Callithrix jacchus: one gene and its partners. The protein of the gene in region 1 purifies or fractionates together with the protein of each later gene. This does not show direct contact. Links are inferred from orthologs where the notes say so. Each region holds a gene or a part of one and is shown in the gene's direction. Other genes may lie near its edges. The genes, in order: DUSP9, MAPK11 and PGRMC1.

What was found.
Region 2: the proteins of DUSP9 (region 1) and MAPK11 purify together in Homo sapiens (affinity purification with mass spectrometry; 4 studies listed by BioGRID and IntAct, with this or other methods). This does not show direct contact. The link is inferred for Callithrix jacchus from reciprocal best matches to the Homo sapiens genes DUSP9 and MAPK11.
Region 3: the proteins of DUSP9 (region 1) and PGRMC1 purify together in Homo sapiens (affinity purification with mass spectrometry; 3 studies listed by BioGRID). This does not show direct contact. The link is inferred for Callithrix jacchus from reciprocal best matches to the Homo sapiens genes DUSP9 and PGRMC1.

The regions. Positions count from the first base shown.
Region 1 is NC_133524.1:149,566,578-149,571,955, forward strand, and holds the start of DUSP9 (dual specificity protein phosphatase 9), read left to right. Parts: upstream 1-2,194; 5' UTR 2,195-2,369; intron 2,370-3,076; exon of another isoform or gene 3,077-3,280; intron 3,281-5,378. UniProt on the Homo sapiens protein: Inactivates MAP kinases. Has a specificity for the ERK family.
Region 2 is NC_133502.1:218,841,949-218,847,319, reverse strand, and holds the end of MAPK11 (mitogen-activated protein kinase 11), read left to right. Parts: intron 1-55; coding exon 56-185; intron 186-355; coding exon 356-414; intron 415-498; coding exon 499-610; intron 611-694; coding exon 695-724; intron 725-812; coding exon 813-860; intron 861-938; coding exon 939-1,053; intron 1,054-1,355; coding exon 1,356-1,427; intron 1,428-1,663; coding exon 1,664-1,743; intron 1,744-2,207; coding exon 2,208-2,286; intron 2,287-2,371; coding exon 2,372-2,545; intron 2,546-2,837; coding exon 2,838-2,917; 3' UTR 2,918-4,124; downstream 4,125-5,371. UniProt on the Homo sapiens protein: Serine/threonine kinase which acts as an essential component of the MAP kinase signal transduction pathway.
Region 3 is NC_133524.1:115,129,787-115,135,383, forward strand, and holds the start of PGRMC1 (membrane-associated progesterone receptor component 1), read left to right. Parts: upstream 1-2,136; 5' UTR 2,137-2,246; coding exon 2,247-2,574; intron 2,575-5,597. UniProt on the Homo sapiens protein: Component of a progesterone-binding protein complex. Binds progesterone. Has many reported cellular functions (heme homeostasis, interaction with CYPs). Required for the maintenance of uterine histoarchitecture and normal female reproductive lifespan.

The DNA.
Region 1 (5,378 bases):
AGCGCCGCTCCCTGGCCCCTCCACCTTGCCCGGGGCTGGCAGTTCCTGGGGCTGCTTTCAGGGTCTCTGGAGAGCACCTCTGGGGTTCAGGAGGGCGTGGGGTCTCACAGGAAACAAGATGGCCCCTTCCCAATGGCCATCCCCAAGGAAGGAACAAGAAGGAGGGCAGTGGCTTTGGTGTTCAGGTGGAATGGAGGGTGAGGGGCGCAGAGGAAAGGGAGAAGGCTGGGGCGCCCCGTCACTCCCATCAGCAACAGATGGACCCAGCTGCTTTGGAGTCAGAGGCCCAGCTGTGCCCTCGGTTCTGCGAAGCAAACTTTCACTCACTCAACTCCTCTTTGGGAGTGTTCTGCATTTTATTCTCCAGCCCTGGGGATGAAGAGGGGACCGCTATTTCCTGAGGCAACTCGGAGCAGGCCTGGTCTTTGTATGCTCCTTCTCCAGCAACGGATGGTCTCGTTGCGTGGAGAGCAGAGACACTGGGAGGGCTGGAGTGGGAGCTGTGCAGAGACGAGGGCGGATTATTCAATCCAAATGTTTCTCCCCAGCCTCTCAGCCCTGAGTCACTAAAGCATGGCAACCCCAAGCTTACTAGAAACTCCTCTGAGTCAGCTCACCCACCAAGCCTTTGGTGATCAGCTGAGCACCCAGGCCACGGGCACAGCTGTCCTACGTCCTCTCCAAACAGGAGGCGCCCTCGGTGGAGGGGGGAATGTGAAAGCCAGCCCCCTGTTTTTAGGGCACAGCTTCTGTGGTATATGGATTTCTTAGGAAAGGTCCCATAACTTCAGCACATCGAGCAGCACAGGCACCAGCGGTGGCTGCATATGCTCGCCTTCGTGGCAGGTCCTGGGCAGCCTGGCCCCCCAAGGCTGTAGGGGAGAGCCCCAGTGCAGCCCCACGAGGCCCAGAGTCCAGAGCAGGGACAGGGTTGCAGGGCCAGTGGCCTCCTTCCAGGAGGGACTCTGCTGCAGTCGGGCCCAGAGCAGGGCGGACAGGCCTGGCTGGCAACAGCAGGACCCTCCCAGCTCACTCACCATGGCTTGAAACTGCACAGATAGGAGGGCCCTTGGAAATCACATGATCCCACCTCTCTCCCCAAAAGTACAGACCAGGAAATGGAGACCCAGAGATGGGGCAGGGACTGGGCTCCAGAGGCAAAGCTGCTGCCCTTGTCTCTTCCAGGGGTAATGACTCAGGGGAATTCAGCGCTGCCGCAGACACAGCCAGGCAGCCAGTGGAGCTGCTGGCACCCCAGCCCTCCCTGCCGCACCTTATTCTGCGCTCATATCCTCCTGCTGGATCTCAACCTCTCCTCCACTGCAGGCAGGAGGCCAGGCTCATGCACCGCTGGCCTGGGAGCCCCAGAAAGGCCAGGTGCACACCTCGGACGGCTGCCTCCCCTCCCCTCCCCATGCAATCTTCCGCACTCACGCTCGTTCAGGCTCTAGGCTTCTGAACTCAGCCAGCCCGAGCCCCATCCTACTTTGCCACTACACTATCGTGCCACCACCAGGGAGCCACGGCCTCAGTTTCCCGGGCTGTAACATGGGGACAATCTCCTCAGACTTCCAGAACTGCTGTAAGGATAAAATGAGGTCCTTGGTGCCAATGGGTGTGACCTGTGGTACAAAGGAGAAAGCTAACGGGACCTGGTGACAACACCCGCTCCCTACTTGCTCCCAGCCCCTCCCTCAACATCCTGGCTCCACCCCTTCCAGGCACTGAGGCTCAAATGCTATTACTAGTAGCCAGAATCTGACATATGAGAATAAGAGGAGACACTGCAGGGGGCCCCTTGGCTGGGGTGCCAGTGCAGATTCTGCGGAGCAACCGTCCCCCTAGCCCAGGCCCAGCCTAGTTCAGGGCCCCCAACCCCACTCCGGCGCTCCAAGCTCCGAAGTCCCCACTCAGTAGCACCATTGGGGACCGGGAAGCGCAGGGCGCGTCGTGCAGGACGGGCGGAGAGGGCAGAAGCTTGCAGGTGGGAGGAAGGCGGGCGGGGGCGTGGGAGGTGGAGGGAGACGCCGGGAAGGCCGCGGCCCCTCCCCGCTCCCTCCCTGCGCGCCGCCAGCTACATTGCCCCTCCTGGGCAGGGGGCGGAGAAGACGGCGATGGGAGGGGAGGAGGCGGTGGCGGAGGCGGAGGAGGCGGAGGCGGAGGAGGCGGTGGCGGCGGCGGCGGCGGCGGGGGCGGGATTTGGAGTTTCCCTCCGCAGCGCCGGCGGCTGCCCCTCAGCTCCTGGCAAGGCCGCCGCCCGGGGTTCCGGTGGCGTTCGGCGGCAGCAGTGGCGCTTCCCGCCGACCGAGCTTCAGAAACTTCCCGGCCGCGACGCAGGGAACAGGCTCAGAGAACCGAGCGGAGCAGAGGTGAGTGGAGCACACGACGTCCTGGGGACCCCCACCCCACCCCACCCGGCCTGGCTGACCCCCCCTACGTGCACCCCCTCCTCCACCCCACACCCCCAAAGTCCTGACAAGGCACTCCCCACGAAGCCGGCGCACGCGCCCCTAGGAGACCCATTGGGTGCTGCCGCCGCACACCCGTGCACCCCTCCCGTGCACCTCCCGTGTCCACTGCCACTTAGACCGGCTGCACACTCGCGCGCACACAAACCACGCATCACAGAGCCGGGTCCCTGTAATGCACACACTAGCATCCCCTGTACCACTACTCACCACTGTCCCCAACTCATGCCAACCCACCGAGACCCTGCCACGCCCCAGTACACACCCAGGCGCACACGCACGCTTCCAACACATCTCTGCGATACCTGCACTAACATAGCTCCCCCTACCATGCTCTTGCCACCTTGAACTCCCCATATCCCATGACAGACACCCCACCCAGGTGCCCAGCCCAGAGACACTGCAGTCCACCCACCCGGGAGCGAGGTCCCATCACAAATCCACATCCCAGCGGCCGATACTCCCCACGTCCCAGGCACACACCTCCAGCATCTCCAGCGCGCACTCTCATCCGCCCCAGCACGCGCGCACACCTGCTGGATTCACGCTCTCCAGCACCCTACCCCGCCCCCATCACAAATAGCCTTCGACACCCCCAGCACATCTCTGAGTCCCTCCCTCCCAACACCTGGCACGCGGGCTCTAGAGGCTGCAGCATTTGGTGGCATCCCTGCCAGGCACCTCTGGCTCTCCTTCGGCAGCGTCTCATCAGCCTTCGGCTCCCCAGGTGCCTCCCTAAACAGACCTTGAGACTCCCCAGCGACTGACTTGGCCTCTTCCCTAAGAGATAAAGAAGGCACTTGGGGTGCAAGGTAGGGTACTTAGATGCGGAGGCAAGGGGCCGGGGGGAGGGGCGGGGTGGAGGCAGAGAGCGCCCGCCGCTGAAATGGAGGCGTCCCAGGTGGGACCAAAGGGGCGCCAGCTGCCCGACCAGCCCGTAGTAGGTGGGTTCCATGCGGGCTGGAGTCCGCGCGCGCTGTCTGGGTGCCGGCCTGTGTGTGTGTTACGGGGAGAGCTGTATGTGCACGTGTGCTTATGCGTGTCGGGGTGGGGGAGGAGTGTGTAATCGGCAGAAGGAAAAGCAGGAGCAGCTCCCTCAGGCAACAATTGGTTTCATTCATTCATGCCTTCTTTGTTAACGAGCATTTCTTCCGCGAGCGCCGGGCGCGTGCCAGGCCCTGCACTGGGGGCTGGGGCCAGCTTGGGGCCGGGCACACACACGTTCCTGCCTTGGAGGAACTCCCAGTCCCGCGAGGAGACCGACCATCCCCAGCAGAAAGTGGATTTGATGGAAAAGACACTGGATTTGGCAGACACGCTGTCTCTGGGACTTGTGCTCTTGGCCATGTGACCCGGCCGCGACAGCCGAAATCCTGCCACTCGGCCCGGCGGGAATGGTGCATTTCGGGGTGGGAAGGCGGCGCGGCGCCGCTCTCGGGAGGCCCCCGGGACCAGAGGGCGCACTCGGCACGCGCGAGGCCTGCAGACGGCGGCTTCCTCGCGGCCTCCAGGGGGCGCTGGCCCGGCCGGGCGGAGGCCCGGGGCGCCCGGCAGGGGCGGGGGCGGGGTAGGCGGGCGCAGCGCCCACCCTGCGACGAGCAGCGAGCGCGCGGCCTGGCTCCGCCCGCCGGAGGGGGCCAGGAGAGGCCCGGGCGCGCGACGCGGCCTCTCCCTGCACGGCCCACCCGGGAGTGGCTGCGGGGCTCGGCGGCGCCCAGAGCTGGCGCTGCTGGGGGCCTGAGTGGGGGCAGTCAGGCGAGGGTCGCCGTTAGAGGGGGTTAGGAGGTTGGCTGCGCTCAGCCCTGCAGTGCGGAGGCCGCAACAGGTTCCCGTTTGTCCTGTTGCTGGCGCTGCGGGCGCTGTGGGCCCTGAACTCTCAGCTCTGACTTTGGAGATTGAGCCCCTCATGGCCTCCTCATGAGCCCCTTATGGCCCCCTCCTAAATTCTTTCTCCGGATGGGAAGGCTTGCCAGCACGGCTCCGCAGTTAGGTTCAGGGAGCCCCTCGCCCGGTCGGGAGCCAGGGACTCTTGGATCCCGGGCTTCCCCTCCCTTCACCATTTCGGAGGCTGCCTCTCTTCATCCTCATCCTAGCCCAGCTCCTCTCACCTCCAGGGAGCCCTCTCCAGAGTGGCCTAAGCACCTCAGGAGCTCCCTCTCCAGCCAGACTGAGCCCCCAGGCACAGGAGCGGGGAACACCGCTGTCCAGCTCCCGGCTGCTCACAGCCCTGTGCCACCCCTACTAGCCACAACCAGACTGGCACATGGCAGAACCTCGGTGGTGCCTTCAACCCCTGGCCACTCTGAGCTCCCACCCACAGCTGCAGTGGGCCTGGAGGCAGCCCCCGGGCTGGGCACCAGTGTACACCTCCACCACTGTGGGACTAGGCTGAGATAGGAGGAGGGAGAAGACAAAGTTCCTGCCCCAGGAACACACTGAGAAAGGGGGAAAGTGACCACACTGGGGAGCACAAAGGAGGGAGACTACTGGCTCCGAGTTGGGAGGGCTGCCTGGACGAGGGGACCTACAGAAAGAAGCAGAATCTCAGAACCTGGGCAGGGGGCATAGGAGGGAGGCCTGGGCTGGGGCCCATGCCCACTGGGCAAGAGGAGAAGGAAGGGCACAGTCCAGCTGCCCAAAGCCCCTGGATGCAGGAATTAGGACTCATCTTAGAGACAGGGACATGGAGGTGTGGCCAGACAGCAGCCCAGTGCCAGGGTCCTGGGAGTCCCGGCTAGCAGCCCACTGCCCAGAAGGGAGGGGGAGGGGAAACTGGAAGCCCCTTAGAGATCTCCATCTGGCCGTGGGGAAGATCTAGGCCTCGAACGGCACCCCTCACACTCACCCACCCCACTCCCAGCTTTCCATCACCTGCCCTCTTCCGTAACCGTGACCTCAGACATTTGCTCC
Region 2 (5,371 bases), on another chromosome or scaffold:
GCGGGCCGCCGCCCACGGACCCCTCCCGGCGCCGCCTCATTCGCCCGCCTTCCAGTTCGGCCTACGACGCGCGGCTGCGCCAGAAGGTGGCGGTGAAGAAGCTGTCGCGCCCCTTCCAGTCGCTGATCCACGCGCGCAGGACGTACCGGGAGCTGCGGCTGCTCAAGCACCTGAAGCACGAGAACGTGAGCCGGGGGCGGGCTGTGGGGAGGGCGCGTCCGGGGCGGGGCCGCGGCGCAGCCAATGGGCGGGTGAGCCCGGGCCGTGGGGGCGGGGAAGGGGCGGGACCCGGGGTGCTGAACGGCGGCCGGGGGTTCGCCGCCGGGTTCTGATCCCTGTCCCCCGCGCCACCCAGGTCATTGGGCTTCTGGATGTCTTCACGCCGGCCACGTCCATCGAGGACTTCACCGAAGTGTGAGCGCCGGGGCGAGGCAGCGCCCTGGGGAGCGCGTTCGCGGAGGGGCGGTGGGGCCCTGTCCTGACGGCCCCCCTCCGCAGGTACTTGGTGACCACCCTGATGGGCGCCGACCTGAACAACATCGTCAAGTGCCAGGCGCTGAGCGACGAGCACGTTCAGTTCCTGGTTTACCAGCTGCTGCGCGGGCTGAAGGTGGGGCGCCCTGGGCTTTGCGGGTTTCCAACGCGCGGGGCGGGCGTGCTGGGCCCAGCGCTGACCGCGACCCCCCTCCCGCAGTACATCCACTCGGCCGGGATCATCCACCGGGTAGGTGCGGCCGCAGGGTGAGGGTTGGGTCTGGCAGGGCTCTGCCCCGGCCTCCTGCCCTCACGCTCACGCTCGTAGTGACCTGCAGGACCTGAAGCCCAGCAACGTGGCTGTGAACGAGGACTGTGAGCTCAGGGTGAGGCCTGTGGGCAGGGGTGGGCAGGGTGGCGGCGGAGCCTGTTCGGGGCTTGAAAACACCTTGTGGTCGCCCCAGATCCTGGACTTCGGGTTGGCCCGCCAGGCAGACGAAGAGATGACGGGCTACGTGGCCACGCGCTGGTACCGGGCCCCTGAAATCATGCTCAACTGGATGCATTACAACCAGACAGGTGCAGGGGGAAGGCCTGGCCGGGACGGAGGCCAAAGGCCCTGGCCCTGCATGCTCACTCTTGGTGGGCAGGCAAGGTCCCCAAAAATGTGAGACCCACATTCAAAAGCAGCCCTTCAGAGGCTGCTAGAACATGATGGGTGCTGGACCCTTCTGGCCCCGCAGCTGTCGCCTCCCCCTGCCCAGGGCTGCATGTGGCAGAGGAGGGGGTCTACCTGTCTTGGGGTCTGGATGTGACTTCGGGTCTCCTGGAGGAGGGATGTGGGGTGGGCACACTGACGGAGGCCCCCCGCCCTCACACAGTGGACATCTGGTCTGTGGGCTGCATCATGGCTGAGCTACTCCAGGGCAAGGCCCTCTTCCCGGGAAGCGACTGTATCCTTGGCTCAGGTTGGGGAGCAGGGTCAAACGGGGCCCCTCCTGTAGGGTAGGGGCTGGTGCTGGCCCCTTCTGGTGGGTCTTGCCTCCTCTGCCCTCCCGCATGCCATGCTACCTTGGGGTGGCCATCCTCAGCTATAGGAGAGCGGGCTCTGGGCAGTGCCCCAAATCTTGGGTCTGAGGGCCTAGGAGAGGTCCGCGGCTGGCCGCTGGGTGTTTCCTGAGTGATGCAGACATTGACCAGCTGAAGCGCATCATGGAAGTGGTGGGCACACCCAGCCCGGAGGTTCTGGCAAAGATCTCCTCGGAACACGTGAGTAGGTGCCCGCCAGCCAGCAGCTCCCTCTGCTGGTTGAGCCCCCAGGCTCTCTGGGGGAGAGGGTAGTATTGAAATGCAGGGACAATGTGGGGAACATGGGACGTGGTGGGATAGAGCCCAGGGCAGGTGCCCAATCCCTGCAGGGGGAACAGGAGAACAGCAAAGACATTCCTGACACCAGGGACGGTGGGTGCTAAGCCATGATCCCAGCAAGCAGTGCCTGGCCATGGCAGTGGGGGTGGGCTGGGGGCAAGGAGTGACCAGCTCCTGCAGGCATCAGGGGCTAAGTGAGGAGCTAGAGCCACCAGCTCTACGCAGAGGGGTTCACTGGTCTGCCTATGCCCTTGTCCTGGCCCGTTGGAGTGAATGAGTGTAGTGGCTTGCTGAGAGAAGCCCCAGTTTGGGGCCAGGGAGGCAGAGAGTGAGCAGCCTCCCCAGGTGGTGTTGTTTGCTCCCAGGCCCGGACATACATCCAGTCCTTACCCCCCATGCCCCAGAAGGACCTGAGCAGCATCTTCCACGGAGCCAACCCCCTGGGTGAGGACTGCCCTGGGGCTAGACTGGGCTCCATATCTGGTCCTGGATGTAGAGCTGACCCCCACCCCCAATGGCTCTCCTGCAGCCATAGACCTCCTAGGAAGGATGCTGGTGCTGGATAGTGACCAGAGGGTCAGTGCGGCAGAGGCGCTGGCCCACGCCTACTTCAGCCAGTACCATGACCCTGAGGATGAGCCAGAGGCCGAGCCGTACGACGAGAGTGTTGAGGCCAAGGAGCGCACCGTGGAGGAGTGGAAGGGTGGGCATGGCAGTGGCTGGGGTTGGGTCCAGGGGCCTTCGGGCTGCCTTACCCCAGAGGCAGGAAGTTCCCAGAGGAACTCCAGTTCCTCTCCAGACTGGTCAGGGGCAGAAGGGCATGCAGGTGTCCGCACAGGCTGCGGGGTGGCACAGGGCAGGTTCTGGCTCCCAGACTCTGTGCTGAGGCTGCTGTCATAGTGTGGTGGGCCTGGGCCGGGTGGCAGGTGCCAGATAAGCAGGTGGGAGGCTGGGCTGTGGGAGGCACAAGCTTACCCTTTCCCTTCACCTCCTAGAGCTCACCTACCAGGAAGTCCTCAGCTTCAAGCCCCCAGAGCCACCGAAGCCGCCTGGCAGCCTGGAGATTGAGCAGTGAGGTGCTGCCCGGTAGCCTCTGACAGCCTGTGGAGGGGCCTGGGCCTGCACCTTTCCACAGTTGATCTGGTTTCCTCAAGAGGCGCCTCCCATACTCCTATGGTCACTGACTCCTGGTCTAGGACCCCTTGCCTTCAGGAGAATCCACACACGTATGCATGCACAAACATGTTGTACATGTGCTTGCCATGTGTAGGAGTCTGGGCACAAGTGTCCCTAGGCCTACCTTGGTCCTCCTGCCCCCTCCTGGCCACTGCACTCTCCACTGGGACCTGACTGTGGGGTCCTGGATGCCAAAGGACTTCCCCTGGGGAGTTCCCCTGTCTGTCCTAGGCCGACCCATGGGGAGTGTCAGCCAAGGGATCTCTTCTGTCTCAGGGCTCTGGAGGGCGCACTGGGGCCGGGAACCCCGGAGACTGAAAGGGAGAGGTCTCAGTCACTACAGATGCTCAGCCTAGAAGTAGGGGACTGCCCTGGTCACTGCTGAGACCCACAGGTCTTGAGAGGCAGAGCCAGTGTGCCACCAGGCTGGGCAGTGACAACCATCACGTATCAAATAAGAAAAGCTGCCTGGAGCCTTGTGTTCACCCATGGGTGTGGGCACGCGTGGATGGGCATGCACTCCCTGTGTTCATGGCAGGGCACATGTGGTGCATGTGAATCCGTGAGCACCCAAGGGACAGCAGCCATGTCTGGCAAGAACCCTGAGCTGGGGCGGGTGTGCTGCTGCCTTCCCTCCCCCCAGTTCCTGATGCTTGAGGGATGTTGGGATTCAGACTAGAGGCTCCAGTGAACCACGTGAGCACAGTAGGGGCTTTTTCCTCGGACGTGGGAGCTATAGCAGGTTCCTGAGGCTGGAGGTGGGCGTTGGTTCAGCCTTGAGGACTCTAAGGCAGGCCGAACACGTAGATGTGGACTTGGATTCCGACACTCCTGTCCCAGCACCCTGGCCCACTCTCTACCTCTGCCCACCGTGTGGCCCTGCAGCCAGAGATCGGAGGTGCTCTGGTCTGCGGGTTAGTCATCCTCTTTCCTTGTCCCAGGATGGAGCTGATCCAATAACCCTGGAAGATGGGACCCTGCTCAGAGCTGAGTTGGGAGTGTGGCTTTGCCCTGGAAAGGCGGTGACCTCTTGCCTTGAGGGGCCCAGGAAAGCCTGGGTGTCAAGTGCCTGCACCAGGGGTGCACAATAAAGGGGGTTCTCTCTTGCTCGGCTCATATCCAAAGGCCACTACAGGCCCTGCTGCTGGGGGTGGGGGAAGTGTCTGGGTCACCCTTCATCACTTGTCTCCAGCTGGCCAGATCCCTCAGTCTCTCAGTCAGACAAGCAGCCATCTTCTGGCACCCTCCCTGCTCCCCGGAGGGTCTGAGAGCCCAGGGGGACCAAGAGAAGACATGGCTGATGGGTGGGCTCTGTGCATAGGGTGTGACAGCCACCCAGATGGTGACCCCAGCTGCCCTATGGGGATGTACTGGGCAGGCTTGGCTTCTGGCCAAGATCCAGACCCCACCCCCCACAGTGGTCAGGGAGGCTGGCTGGGGAGTAGTTGGGTGTCTCAGGGAGTAAGGGTCTGCCCATCCCTGGTGGGGTGGGGCTGGGCAGGGTAAGGAAAATAGCTTTCCTTTCCTTTCTGTTGAAGATTAAAGAGCCCACTTTAATCTGAGGGATGTATGCGATAGTCCCATTCCCACTATACACGGTAGTTTACTGTGGGGGAGGGTCCAGGCCATGCTGGGTCAGGCAGCATCTCTGGGGGCCAGGGACAGCCTGTGCCCCTTGCCTGGGTCTTGGATGGGGGGTGGAAATCATCTGGGAGTTGGGGGCCTCCTGGGGCCTAGTCAGTGTAGTGTTCAGTCCTGGGGAAGTCCAGTGTTGGGGTGTGGGGGAGCAGAATGGGGACACAGCCCCACCTCAGATGCCTGGTCTGTGTGGGGCCTGCTGGACCCCTGAGCCCCACCATGAGGAGTGAGGGGGACAGCAGTGGAAGCAGGGCTTCCTGGAAGACGTGGATGGAGTGCCACAGGCAGCCCAGGGCACAAAGGTTGCAGGCCACAGCCAGTTGTGGTTTGGGTAGCCCCGGGCTACCCCGGCTCACTGGTCACCAGCTGGTGAATGCCGCAGACAGCCGGAAGCCCAGGTGTAAAGCTACTCCCACCCTTGAGCGGCTGAGCTGCTGATTCATGGCAGGAGGGCGGGCGGGGGGCCCTAGGGAACTTGTTACCCACCAACCCAGTGGGTTCCAGGGGTGCACCCCCCATCCTTCCTGAGACCCAGATCACTGGGCTGGGGAAGGGGTGTCAGGGTGGGGCTTTTCACTCTGAAGCATCTGGTCCAGGATGGAGCCAGACCGATGGGAGGATGATGCCCACACGGAGGGGACAGGCTGAGGGCCCAGCAGGTCCTCGTCCCTGTAGGAGAGAGTGCAGCCATGAGCTTTGCAGGACGGAACAGGCA
Region 3 (5,597 bases), about 34 Mb from region 1:
GGTTGTGAGTTATTTACGCAGAAAGGCTGTGTCATGGATCATGAAGAAAGGGAGATTTGTAGCTTATTTTCTTTTTCTTTTTGCTATTTCATGCTCCCACCAGCCTGATTCCCTTTCCCTAATTAGGACTCCACAATGATAATATTTGAATGGCCTTTTAATTAGTCATTTTATTTGAAGTCGGACATTTAGGTTATTTCCAGCTTTTCTGTATTAAAAATGAATCTCTGCTGAGCATCTTAGTAAAGAAATCTTTGTCTACATTTCTGCTTCCTTGGGATGGATTCCTAAAAATGGAATTACTGGGCCAAAGAACGGATTTCTAGAAGTGGAATTAATGAATAGAAAATATTTTTATGAATAATAAAAGGTTGTACCCAACAGCGTATGAGAGTCTCACCACTCTCTTGCCAATACTGTGTTATCCTTTTTTTCCCTTTTATCTTTCCTGCAGAAAAGTAGTAGGTGACAGTGGCATCTCCATGTTTTCTTTTTATTACAAATGAGACTGAACATTTTTCAAATGCTTATTCACCACTGGCATGCTCTCTTTTGTGAACTACCTGTTTCTATTTTTGCCCATTTATTGACTAGAATCTTGTAGATTTTCTCATCAATCCAAATGAACCCTCAAAGAAATATTAACCTTCTGTCATGTTAGTTGCAAATGAAAATATTTTTCATAAATGTATTAGCTTTCTAATTTTTTTGGCCATACATGTTAAGAGAGATAGATTCTAACTACAGCCAGGGGCCCTCAGTTTGAGCCTGTATCCCGTGATTAAATCGAAGGGTTTTGACAAAAGATCTGGAGGGGCTGTTTCAGCGAATCCCAAATTTAGCTCTGAGAAAAATGCGTGGGCCCGATACAAAGGTTGTTTGTTATCACTTTAAAATGATTTAAGAAGATGTGAGGGGCAGGGATGGAAGCAGTTTTTGCCAGAAATTTTTAGAATTCTGAGGTAAGAAGCCATTCTTTACTCAAGTGTCTTGCGTGTTGGGAGGAGGAGTAAATTATGTGCAAGCCAACAACGCTTGGTGGAAAAGTACTGCTCTGGGCGGCAGATGTGTGCAGGGCTTGGTTTTAATTATTTGTTTCCCTCTCTATCCTTTCTTCTGCTCCCCTCCCCCTGCCACCAGAAGAAGGGCCAAATTAGGACGAGGCAACCCCTTCCTACTTGGAGGCCAACTTCTGTGCAGCTTGTTAGCACATCAAAGGCCGGGTGAAGTACCTAGGAAAGGAAGGGACCAGGCCTAGGATCCTTACAAATTCCCGCCTTTGTCTGGGCTCCAGCTCAGGGTTATTGTGACTGTTAAAGGTAGACTGACAGAGTCCAAATAGAAGAACGCTGCCAAACAAAGAAACTTTGCACATTATTCTGAGGAGGAAAAAAAGAGCAACAAGAGAACGTTGCTTGCTGATGCCTGGTGACTGAGCAAATCAATAATTGCAAAAGGGTTTTTCGGACAACAAACACAAAGTTAACTGGGCGATCCGATTCGTTTTCGCAGATAATAGGGAGAGATTTGCACTGACTTTAGCTATGCCCGGGGAGTCGGTCCCACAGCTTCTGGGGGAGAATTGGGGAAGGGCCATCAAGGAGAGCGAACGGGGGTTTCCAAGGTGAAAATGAGTCATGTAGGGCTCTGAGATAGAAAATGGAGTTCCAAGAATGAGTTTCCTGTCTCCTAAGACAGCTTCCAGGGCCCGGGAACGGCCGGGGGAAGATGAGGGGCTGTGGAATGGAAGCAGGGAAAAGCCTGCAGCAAGAGAAATGGAGTCGGTGTCTGGAGCGCATCAGGTGGCAGAGGGGCGCTCGCACAGAGCCGGGCAAAGCAGAGGCTCTCCCAGCGGGTCGGTCTGCGAGGAGGAAAAAAGGGGTGCCGAGGAGGGCAGCGCGTACGTCGCGCTCAGCTAGAGGATGGCGGGAGAATGGCGTGAGGTTCGGCTGGGGCCTCCCAGGTAGAACTGAGGGAGCACCGCGCAGCCGCGGAGCAGCGGCGCCGGACTCCAGAGGCTTTGTGGGGGACCTGAGGGCGGCCCAGCGGAACCGAGAAGGGCGGGGCGCTTAGGTGGCCTCGGGGGGTGGGCGGGGCTTGGAGGCTCCGCCCCTCCGGCCCTGCCTCCTCCCGGCTAGTCTTAGGCGGCCGCCGAACCTCGCGCGCCACTCGCTCGCTCGGAGGGAGGAGAAAGCGGCGAGTTCCGGAGCCCTGCCTAGCCCGGCCCAACCTTTGCTCTAGAGATCATGGCTGCCGAGGATGTGGTAGCGACCGGCGCCGACCCGAGCGAGCTGGAGAACGGCGGGCTGCTGCACGAGATTTTCACGTCTCCGCTCAACCTCCTGCTGCTTGGCCTCTGCATTTTCCTGCTCTACAAGATCGTGCGCGGGGACCAGCCGGCGGCCAGCGGCGATAGCGACGACGACGAGCCGCCCCCGCTGCCCCGCCTTAAGCGGCGCGACTTCACCCCTGCCGAGCTGCGGCGCTTCGACGGCGTCCAGGACCCGCGCATACTGATGGCCATCAACGGCAAGGTGTTCGACGTGACCAAAGGCCGCAAGTTCTATGGGCCCGGTACGTCGGCCAGCTAGGGGGCCGCGGAGACAAAAGAAGGGGGCCCCCCGGCACGGGGCTGGGCGGGAGAGAGGCGAGGCGGGAGCGGGGCGCCCCTGAGCGGAGGGAGGAATGGCGGCGAGCTAGGGAAGCCGGGCAATCGGAGAGCTGGGAGGCTCCCGGGGCTGGCAGGGGGTAAGAGGCACTCCAGAGGGGCTGCGGGCCAGTCGGGGACGCAGATCCCCGGCCCGCGCTGACAGCGCTGGGAGGGGGTTGGAGAAAGAAGGCTGAGGCGCTTAAGCTGGGGGTGGGTGGGACCGCAAAGCTCGAAGGCGTTGTGGGGGGAGCACATCAAAGCCAAGGCTGTTGGGGGAGTTTCCGAAGGTGCTGGGCTTGAGGATTCCTGGAAGGAGGAGAGGGTAGTGTCGGGTTCTAGGAGGGGAAATAAAGGAGCGATGAGGAGAGGGCGAGAGTGAGAGAAGGTCCAGAGCTAGAGAAGACTGGAAGGCCAATGCCGCCGGGAGTAGATTCCGAATGTGAGTGTGTGAGAGAAACCGCAGAGATAGGATTAACCGCAGGTAAAAGCATTGTGCCTGGTGGATAGTGATGTGTGTGTGCACTCGCGAAGTGTGCATGCGCGGTGTGTGCGTGTTTAGTGTATGATTTATCAGGGGTGTGTGTATGGTGTGTGTGCACACGCACTTGAAATGTGTCATGCGTCAGGTATGTGTGTGGCATGTGTTTGGTATGTGTGCGCTTGTGCTGTGTGTGGGCAGATGGGGAAACGCTGGAAGGTGAACAAGGAGGAAGGGGACTGTTTGAGAGAGGAATAAAGGCTGAACGTGGTGGGCAATGGTAACATGGCAAGCTTTTAAGGTAGTATGGTATTTAGTCTATAGGAGGAGAGAAAGGATTAGAAGCCCCCCCCAAAAAAAAATTAAAATGGAGGGAGGGAGAAGTGGGAGGATACCGAGAAACAAAAGGAGTAGAGCTATGAAGACTGCTGGGTGGGGGGAATCAGGAAAAGCCAACCAGAGGGAAATGAAGAATGGATAACTGCTGCACTGCTGAGCTGTCGGAGGAGGCAGGCCTGATGGGTTCCTTAGAGGTGAGGTTTTTGCAAACCTGGTTGCGTATCACAATCACCTGATGCATCTGAGGAAAAATGCAGATTCCCAGTATAACTGCAGATGAGTTAGACATGCAGATGAGTCTCAGGATGGTCCGGGAGTCTGCATTTTAATATGCTTCCCCAGGTAAATTTGAAAGGCAGCCAGGCTTGCAAAGTCCTGCTTTATAGAATACTTGGAGAGGAGGAAGAAGAGGTTTTTGATCCTCCAATATGGACTCTAAAGACAGGGAGTGTAGAGGGTGTCCATATCAACGGTGCTCATTCCCCACTGGCCTGAGAGAGGGAAGAGTACAGAAGGCAGTACACAGGTGAAACTCGGGCATTCATGTTAATCTCCCAGTCCAACTGATCAAAATAAGATGTGTTAAGGGTAAGGAACTCACTCATTTAGTTTTTCTCTTGCAGATATTTTATTTATTTTTTTAGAGACAAATTTATTTTTTAGAGATGGGGTCTTGCTGCTGTGTTGCCCAGGCTGGTCTCAAACTCCTGGGCTCAAGCGATCCTTCCACCTTCAACTCCCAAAGTGCTGCAATTACAGGCATGAGCCACCACACTGGGCCTGTGGATATTTTAGAATACCTGCTTTCTGTAGGCATGTAACTGTCAGAATAATTTGAAAACCAAACCACACATATGATTTGTCACTTAGAGTAGCACACATAGATGCTTTATCAATAAACATAATCATGTAAGTACCTGTTAATATTAAACACAACCGTAAGGCAGTGAAAACATGTACATGAGGCATCTTCATGACTGTAGTTTGCAGAGTCATTGAGAGGAATGTCAGCCTGCACAAAGAGCACAAAACTAGGAGTCAGGGAACCTGCATTCTAGTCCTGATTGGGTCGTTACTAGTTGTGTGACGTTGTCTAAAGCATTGTTCTCTCTGAGCCTTAGTTTTCTCTCTGAAAAGTAATAAAGATCGCCTATTGTGAGATCTCTGTCTCTATCTTGCACTGTCATTCAGTGAGCCCATGACTACGTGACATCATGGTAGGAAGTGATGCTTCATGTTGTAAAGGATTCCTAAAAATCAGTCATTCTAGTGCCTGTTAACTGTGCAAGATACTGTTGTAGATATGGGAATATAGCAGTGAGCAAAACAGATACAAATTTCTGCTTGCATCCTAGTGAATATACATTGAGCTGAATAATATGTATTTTTTAAAGACTTTTAATGTTCCCACTAGACCTTGTTTAAATATTCTGTGAGGTTTGCTTGGTAAAGACTCACTCTACCAAGCCAATGACCATAATTTCTGAAATGGTGAGCTTCAAACCATTACGTTTGCTATTCTCAAGTACTAGGTGCTGCCATTTCCACTAGAGGTATACATTTAAGAAAAATGTGGGAATTTTTTTATCTTTTCTAGTGGATATGGCAGCATGTAATGATGATTAAAAATAAGCATTTTTCTTTGGAATTTTAATTGTATTTAAAAGTCATAAAATTTACTTAATTTGTAAAAATTTCGGAGTGTATTGAGGTTTCAGGTGACCAGGCCATATTGAAACTTGACCTATTCTCATATTTGGCACAGTGTTTACCTACAAACTTTTAAATGTCAGGGCTGCTATTCAATCTGCCTTGGGGGAAATAACACATTGTTTAAAGTACACTGGATTCTCTTCATGTAGTTGTGCAATATTTAAATAAGTCTAAATATCCACTTTGTGTACCTACGGAATGATTTTCTGCTCTCTTAGACAAAAGTTCAGTATAATATCATAAATCATAGCATTCTGAGTTTTATAGAGTTATTTTGCAGTATTGATTCAGCCTCTTTTCCATGAAGATTTTAGTATTTTCACAGTCTTCTCAAGCCTACCAAAAACAGATCATGAAGACTGATCTCTGTGTTATCTCTTATTTATTGACAGTGAAGGTTATGTAATGTGGATAGAT